Linked DNA regions of Mus musculus. The protein of the gene in region 1 interacts with the protein of each later gene in a pairwise test. Links are inferred from orthologs where the notes say so. Each region holds a gene or a part of one and is shown in the gene's direction. Other genes may lie near its edges.

The links. The genes of interacting proteins can lie anywhere in the genome.
Region 2: the proteins of Dmrtb1 (region 1) and Il16 interact in a two-hybrid assay, tested with the Homo sapiens proteins (2 studies listed by BioGRID). The two-hybrid records come from large-scale screens. The link is inferred for Mus musculus from reciprocal best matches to the Homo sapiens genes DMRTB1 and IL16.

The regions. Positions count from the first base shown.
Region 1 is NC_000070.6:107,681,431-107,685,486, reverse strand, and holds the start of Dmrtb1 (doublesex- and mab-3-related transcription factor B1), read left to right. Parts: upstream 1-1,256; 5' UTR 1,257-1,324; coding exon 1,325-1,907; exon of another isoform or gene 1,908-2,021; intron 2,022-4,056.
Region 2 is NC_000073.6:83,652,399-83,655,898, reverse strand, and holds part of Il16 (pro-interleukin-16), read left to right. Parts: intron 1-403; exon of another isoform or gene 404-475; coding exon 476-620; intron 621-2,936; coding exon 2,937-3,500. UniProt on the Homo sapiens protein: Interleukin-16 stimulates a migratory response in CD4+ lymphocytes, monocytes, and eosinophils. Primes CD4+ T-cells for IL-2 and IL-15 responsiveness. Also induces T-lymphocyte expression of interleukin 2 receptor. Ligand for CD4.

The DNA.
Region 1 (4,056 bases):
TTTTTTTTCTTTTGGGTGGAATTACTCTCCAAAGCTGGGAGCTCCCCTTCTCTCAGAGTGAACCGACTGGAACACATGCTTTGTCACAAAACAAGCAAATTGTGGCTCCTTGTGATATTGGTAGATTCTGGGAATAAAGGCCATCCTGGAGGGGCAAGCCCCCCTAAGTTAGGTCTGAACACACCGTGCTGTGTGCCCTATACTGGGTGAGCAGATGTCTGAGGAAGGCTCTTGCAAATGTTTACTTATATGGCCCCTCTCCTGAGAGAAGTATGCATGCTTCATCAATGTATTTCCAGTGGCTAGGGAATTTTTTTTTAAGTAGTTGTGTTTGGCTTCATAAAGACAATTAAAAGACCATATGAAACAAGAAACACACACACACACACAAACACACACACACACAAACAAACCCAAAAGCCAGTAATTCAAATTAGTTCCGAACTATCATGTTTTGCTTTAGAACATTATTTTTGTTTTTGCTTTTTGTTTTTTGTTTTTCGAGACAGGGTTTCTCTGTGTAGCCCTGGCTGTCCTGGAACTCACTCTGTAGACCAGGCTGGCCTCGAACTCAGAAATCCGCCTGCCACTGCCTCCCAAGTGCTGGGATTAAAGGCATGCGCCACCAACGCCCGGCACTTTAGAACATTATTAAGCATGCATTTTTCAGACCCTAGTGCTTACACAAACAGGACTCAAAAACTCATGGTTTCTGCAATGCCTGTAAGTAACCAACACTGCACTAAGCGCTGAAGAATATTCTGGAAGCAGAACTGCTCTTTTTCTCTACAGAGGAGCGAGATGAAGCAGAAGCAGCTGCTTCGGGGAGGAAAAACACAGTGTTCTCTGGAACTTTCCAATAGTACGGGTTTACTAACAGCTCTGTTCATTGGGAGTTTTAAAACCCTCGACCGTTGAGTAGAAGTCCGCCTTTTTTCAAAAAAAAAAAAAAAAAAAAAAATCTATTTTCCAGTTACAATTTGGCGGGAACAGGAAGTTTGAAAATTCAAGTGCCGAAAACTTCAAATAACTCGTATGACATACATGTAATAAGTATTTCATTTTTAATTTACACCGTACACCATTGCCCAACACACAGAAACACGGTAAATTTAGCACACACACACACACAGAAAGTGGAAAAAATGCAAGAGTCCTATTGCAGTTCTCCGGACATTCAGCGAGCTGTTTTGTTACAAGTGTATCCAATGTCCCCAGCACCAGGGACTTATGGGGGCACCGCTCATTCCTGCTTCACTTGCTCTGCAGCTTCGGGAAGTGGTGGCTGCGTTTGGAAGCAGAGCTTGCCCAGCTAGACGACAAGATGCTTCGCGCCCCCAAGTGCTCTAGGTGCCGGAACCATGGCTATCTGGTACCAGTCAAGGGCCATACGGGCAAATGCCGCTGGAAGCAGTGCATCTGTGACAAGTGCTACCTGATCACCGAGCGCCAGAAGATCATGGCTGCCCAGAAGGTTCTCAGAACCCAAGCTGCCGAGGAGCAGGTGGCGACCGTGGGCACGCAGGGTCCCCAGCTGCCTCCTAGGGCTCCAGCAGCGGCGGCCACCGCCTTGAGCTCCAGCATTTGCCCACTGCCTAGGGCGGTTCCGGGAGGCGTTGGGCCAGGCCCCACGGCCACTTGCTTCCTCGAGAGGCCCCCGCAGGCCCCGAGCCCAGGCCCGAGCACCTTCCAGCTGGGCCCAAGTGGCCGCCCGGGCCCCAGCACCTTCCAGCCTGGACCAGGGGCCCCCGGGGGACTGCGCGACCGTTCCTCCGCGTGGCTGCCCCAGCTCATGCCACAGGCGCCCAGGCCGGAGCTTTGCTACCCGGATCAGCACCTGCCAGTGCGGCCCGTGCCAGTGCCAGGGCCAGTGCGGCCCGTGCCCCGACTGCCGTTCGCCGACTACGGTAAGCCCAGCCTCGTGCAGCCGACGGTTCCTCCGGCCTGTACCAGGCCAGCAGCCTCCGGCTCTAAGCTGGAGTCCCAGACTGGTGCCGGGGTGGGAAAGGCGCCTTCCCCAGGTAACCCCGCTTGAGAACCTGTTCCCAGACAAGGATTTGGGTGGGTGGCTTCTGATGATAGCAATGGGAAAAAGCTGGTAGGGAAGAATGTGCAGTGCAGGGGGGCTTTGTTGAGATGCAGTTTTCTGCCTCTGTACTTTTGCAAGAGGAAAAAAAAGATGGCAGCTGGGCAGCTTTGGCAGTGGCGCCTTTCCGTGGCCCCTCTAGCGCGTTTGCACGGCATCCCTTCCCCCCTCCCAGGTCTAGATCTCTTGTGCCTGCGTGGCAACCCCTCCCCCTCCCCGCCTGCCATTTTTCTCCTGCTGGAGAGTCTTTTTCTGAGTGGCTGTTCACCTTAAACTGCGCCTGCGCACCCTCCTTTCACTGAGCCGAGGCTAATTTATCCTAACTGCAGTGTCTAGCCTAACGCACCTGTACTCACACTCACTTGTTCCATTTCACCTGATGTGGTGGGGAATAAAACTTTCTGCTAGTTGGCCAGGGGGATGGGCTGGTTCACTAAGATTTTTTTTCCCCCTCGCTTTGTGCATTAATTACATTGTTTCTTTATGCTGTAGGTTGCTTTCCTGGTTGAAGTAGATTTCTTGAGTTTTTTTAAAATTATATTTATATCTTATAATTTATTTATTATAATGCATTGGTGTTTTGCCGGCATGCATGTCTGTGTGAGGGTGTCTTATCCTCTGGAACTAGAATTACAGGCAGGTGTGAGCTGCCACATGGGTGCTAGGAATTGAGCCTGGGACCTCTGGAAGAGCAGCCGGTGCTCTTAACCTCTTAACCGCTGAGCCACCTCTCTAGCCCCTGAAGTATGTTTTCAAGTAATGTAAAATTTGAGGCTCTTGGAATGCGGCTCTTTGGGATGAAGACTTGGGTTTTTGGGGGGGGTAGAGGGGGTTACTTTCCTTAGGGCTATGTAGAAAGAGTCTGAGTCGAGGGGATGCCCATGTGTAGCCTTGGACAAGTTCCTTCCTTGAAGAGCAGACTTTCAGAAATTAATGCTAACCATTCTTTTCTCTTTTTTTTCTTTCTTTTCTTTTTCTTTTTCTTTTTCTTTTTCTTTCTTTCTTTCTTTCTTTTTTTTTTTTTTTTTTTGGACAGGTCTCTGTATAGCCCTGGCTGTCCTGGAACTCACTTTGTAGACCAGGCTGACCTCGAACTCAGAAATCCACCTGCCTCTGCCTCCCAAGTGCTGGGATTAAAGGCATGCGCCACCACACTCCGCTCCAATGCTAATCATTCTTAATGTTTCTGAGATTTTGTAAGAAATCTTTCTCCCCAAGGAACTATCTGTCTGATGAGGAAGGCAGACTTAAATAAACCAGCAGTCCTATGAGGGCATATGTGTGTTCATCTCTCAACAAACAGGAACTTTAAAATGTGTTATAAAGAGGGGGGGAGAAGAGGCCACTTGTGGCTAATCCCAGCATGTGTGGAGGAGAGGTCAGAGGGCAACTTTGGGAAACCGGTTCTTTCCTTCTACCTCATGGGTCCCTGGGATGGAGCAGTGGCTGTCAGGCTTGGTGGCAGGTGCCTTTAGCCATCTTGCTGGCTCTGATGGTGCTACTCTCGATTGTCAGATGGATTGGTGAGAAACCTGGATGAGGAAAGCAGGAATTTGTCTGGATGCATCTTGGGAGGCGTTTCCAGAGAGTTTACTAAGTAGGAGAGGTGGGCCCTGCATGTGGGCAAAACAGCATGGCTGAGTGTTCAGGGACAGTGGGGTTAAAAATGAAGAGGAGAGATGGTGTCTGTGACTGCAGAGGAAGTGCCTGGGCTGTGCTGTTCACACCAGCACTGCCAGGAACAGAAACTGAAGCAGAGTCCAGTGGTGGGTGAGAACCACCACACGGTGGCTTAGACGTCCTGTCCTGTCCCCTCCTGATGCACCAACCCCGGGGAACAGCTTGACTGCAGCCAAAGCCAAGGGCTCCCATTGTCTCTGCCCAACACAGCGCTGAACCAAGGGGGGGACTGGGAATCTCACCGGTGTGCTAGAGTGTTGCTGCTAGTGTTGCATGGCCGTTACTGTTAG
Region 2 (3,500 bases), on another chromosome or scaffold:
AATGAAGAATGCTATTTAAAGAACTTAAAACCAGTGAGGTACGCAATGGATGTGCTTTTCTTCTGAGTGGGCTTAGGTCTTAACTTAGGCAACATTAGAAGACAGTTCCCTTGGCCCCTGTGTGTACCTCCTGGGGTCAGATAGTTTCCCCACATGCCATTTTAAGCAAAGTTGTGCTGGCACATTTGTTATCCCCAGCTCTTGTGCCCATCACAGACAGCCGGTAACTTTCCGTGTCTATGATGCATGGTGCACAACAGGTCATTGGAAGCCAAGGGAAACCTGGAACATCTAAGAGGGACTAGCTGTACAGCAACATCCCAGGAGGGAAGAGACCCCTTTCTCATGACTGCTGGGAATTTCCCGCTAAAGGTGTCTCAATACTCACTTTCAAGTCCTAATCAAAGAGTGCCTTGCCTTCTCACAGCTGTAGACTACCGTTTTGACACAGTCTGGCTTCCTGTTTACACCACAGGAAACCAGAGAGCTGCTGCCACTGTTGCTACAGGAAGACACTGCAGGGAGAGCCCCCTGCACCGCTGCCTGCTGCCCAGGACCTGCAGCCAGCACGCAGACTTCATCCTCCACAGAAGGAGAGTCAAGGAGGAGTGCCAGCCCAGGTGAGCCTCCGTAAGGATCTTCCAGAAAGAAAATCTTTCTGGAGAAAGTTCTATGGATCAAGTAGGTGCTAGAGTTTGGTCTGAGGTCAGTGTTTTGCATGGACACAGTGGACACAGCCTGTGACTGGGGTTGGTGGACAGTGAGGTGTCCTGGGTGCAGGGGCAAGAGGATAGTGGAAGTGTTCATTAGAGTGATAGATGTGCTTCCTGGTTGAAGCAGTGATTCTGGGGTGGTGGTGGTGGTGCTGGTGGTGGGAATGCAAGCAATTCCTGAGGGTCTACATGGACAGATGCCCAAAAGTTTCAATAGTCCAGCTACCTTGAGCAACTGCTTTAAATGGGTGTCAGTAAGACAACACACTTCATGCACTATGCTCAAATCTGAGAGTGCAGCATGGGAAAAGCCGGAGCAGTGGTCACCATGGCGAGGAGGTGGATAGCAAGGGTAGTTCCAAGTGGTACTTCAGTAAATACAACATGGTATCTTGGTTATTTAGCAGCTTACTAGAAAGAACAGAGGATCCCGGGTTCACCCATCGTTAATTGTGATTCTGGGCAATCAGCTTTGCCTTTGTCAGCTCATTCACTAGTGAGCAAATATTTAAGACCACATAGAATCCTAATATGTGATTTACTGCTGCTAGCACATGGTGAATGTTAGGTAGGTGAGGCTGTGCTTGCTGCCAGGGATGAAGGAGGAAGGAGTGCCACAGACCCGTTCCTGACCTAAGGAGCTCCCAGTGTCGCAAAAGAGTAAATAGGGAGGCTACTAACCATATTCCCCATGCATGGTAAGGCCTCTGGAGAGTTAAGGGCACTATGAATGAATGATCTAGACTTCTCACCCAGAGAGGTGCCCCACCAAGGGAGACTCCACCTGACCACCCTCCCTTCTCTTAGTCATCTGATTGAGGACACACCCTAGTTTGCAGAGGACTTGCCTGTGGAGCTTTGGACTCTTCCATTCTTACCACATAAGCCCCTTATAGCTGAACACTTTGTAAATGTAGAGACAGGCTGAGAGGACCAGATTTCCTTGCTGAAGTCCCATAGTCAGTAGTACCTACTCAGACCTCCATGATCATGCAAGGGTACTCTTTGGTAGCAGCAAAGTTCTACTTCCCTTGAGGCTAGGCACTGTGACAGGACATAGGAGGAAGCAGTATTCATCAAACAAGGGTGCATTCTCATATGAAAACCGTCTCTGAAACATGAAGTCCAAGCAGCCTAGTTGTATGTAGAGAAGGATGAGGCATGGTGAACACAGAGAACAGCCCAGTGACTTCCCTCTTGTCTGTTAGGGCTCATGTGCCAACCTCTCCTGCTCCTCAGGAAGGGAGTTGGGTGCTGAGTCTCCCCCACGCATGCAGGTAGATGTCAGTTTACTGTTATCTTATTCTGAGAGAGCTTCTGCCACGCTGCCCCTTAGATATGCCAGCCTGAGAACATCATGGTCATAAGTGGATGATGAAACTCCTTGTGGGCCTTACCAAATCCCTGTTGCCCAGGATACAGCTCAGATATATCAACTCACAACTGAGAAAGGGCTCCTCTAGTCCTATGTGTAGCCAAAGTTCAAAGTCAATGCTACAGCCTTTGTTGTTCTCCCTGGAACAGTTTCATCAACTTTTTTTGATTGAGAAAGACTTATTTTTCAAGCAGGCTGGTCAATTACCTGAGTATGGACAGAGTATCATACTCACAAGACCTTGTGACTTCAAAAACAGGCAAGTCCATAGCTATGAGCTGTGCCTATGAAACGAGGGGGCCCCAGTAAACTGTACACACCTTACCCAGTAGGCATGCCCATTCTTCTTGCTTTTGAATTGCATAGATAGTCCAAATCAAATATGGTGACCAACTTGAGACTCGTGGAGTGAGTTTAAAAGGCAAAAGAATTGCTTTCACTTTGCTTTTTTTTTTTTTTTTTTTTTTTTGGTACGTTATCTGTGTGACTTACTTTAGACAGTGGGGAGGACATTAGAATGAACAGTCAGAAGACATGTGCTCTTGCCTGACTCCGACAACTGTGGCCCCTCATCCATCTTGACTGCTAGAGTCCTCTCTTATCAAATGATAAGAGCAGATATTTCCCAGGAACACATCTAGTTCTAGATGTTTAGATGGCCCATGTCACTCTCCTCTGTTTCTCCAGTTTTGCTTGTTGGTACCCCAGTTAGGTGTCATCCCTTGGAGCCAGCACCCACTCTGTTCACTATTTCTGCTCCTGAGCTCTTCAGCACTGTAACTTGAATTTAGGAGAAAAAATCCCAACAGAGTATAATGCTCAGGTTTGGCTTTGTTTCTGCCCACCAGAGACTCCAGCATCCCCAGGAAAACACCCGCTGCTGAAGAGGCAGGCACGGATGGACTATAGCTTTGATATCACTGCTGAAGACCCTTGGGTTAGAATTTCCGACTGCATCAAAAACTTATTTAGCCCCATCATGAGTGAGAACCATAGCCATACACCACTACAGCCCAACACCAGCCTTGGTGAAGAGGATGGGACACAGGGCTGTCCAGAGGGGGGCCTGTCAAAAATGGACGCTGCCAATGGTGCTCCCAGAGTTTACAAGTCAGCAGATGGCAGCACTGTGAAGAAGGGGCCTCCAGTAGCCCCAAAGCCAGCTTGGTTTCGGCAGAGCTTGAAAGGTCTGAGGAATCGTGCCCCAGACCCCAGAAGACCCCCGGAAGTAGCCTCAGCCATTCAGCCTACACCAGTTTCTAGGGACCCACCAGGGCCACAGCCTCAGGCCTCTTCCTCCATCAGGCAGAGAATCAGCTCCTTTGAAAACTTTGGCTCCTCACAATTGCCAGACAGAGGAGTCCAGAGACTGAGCCTGCAGCCCAGCTCTGGGGAGACCACCAAATTTCCAG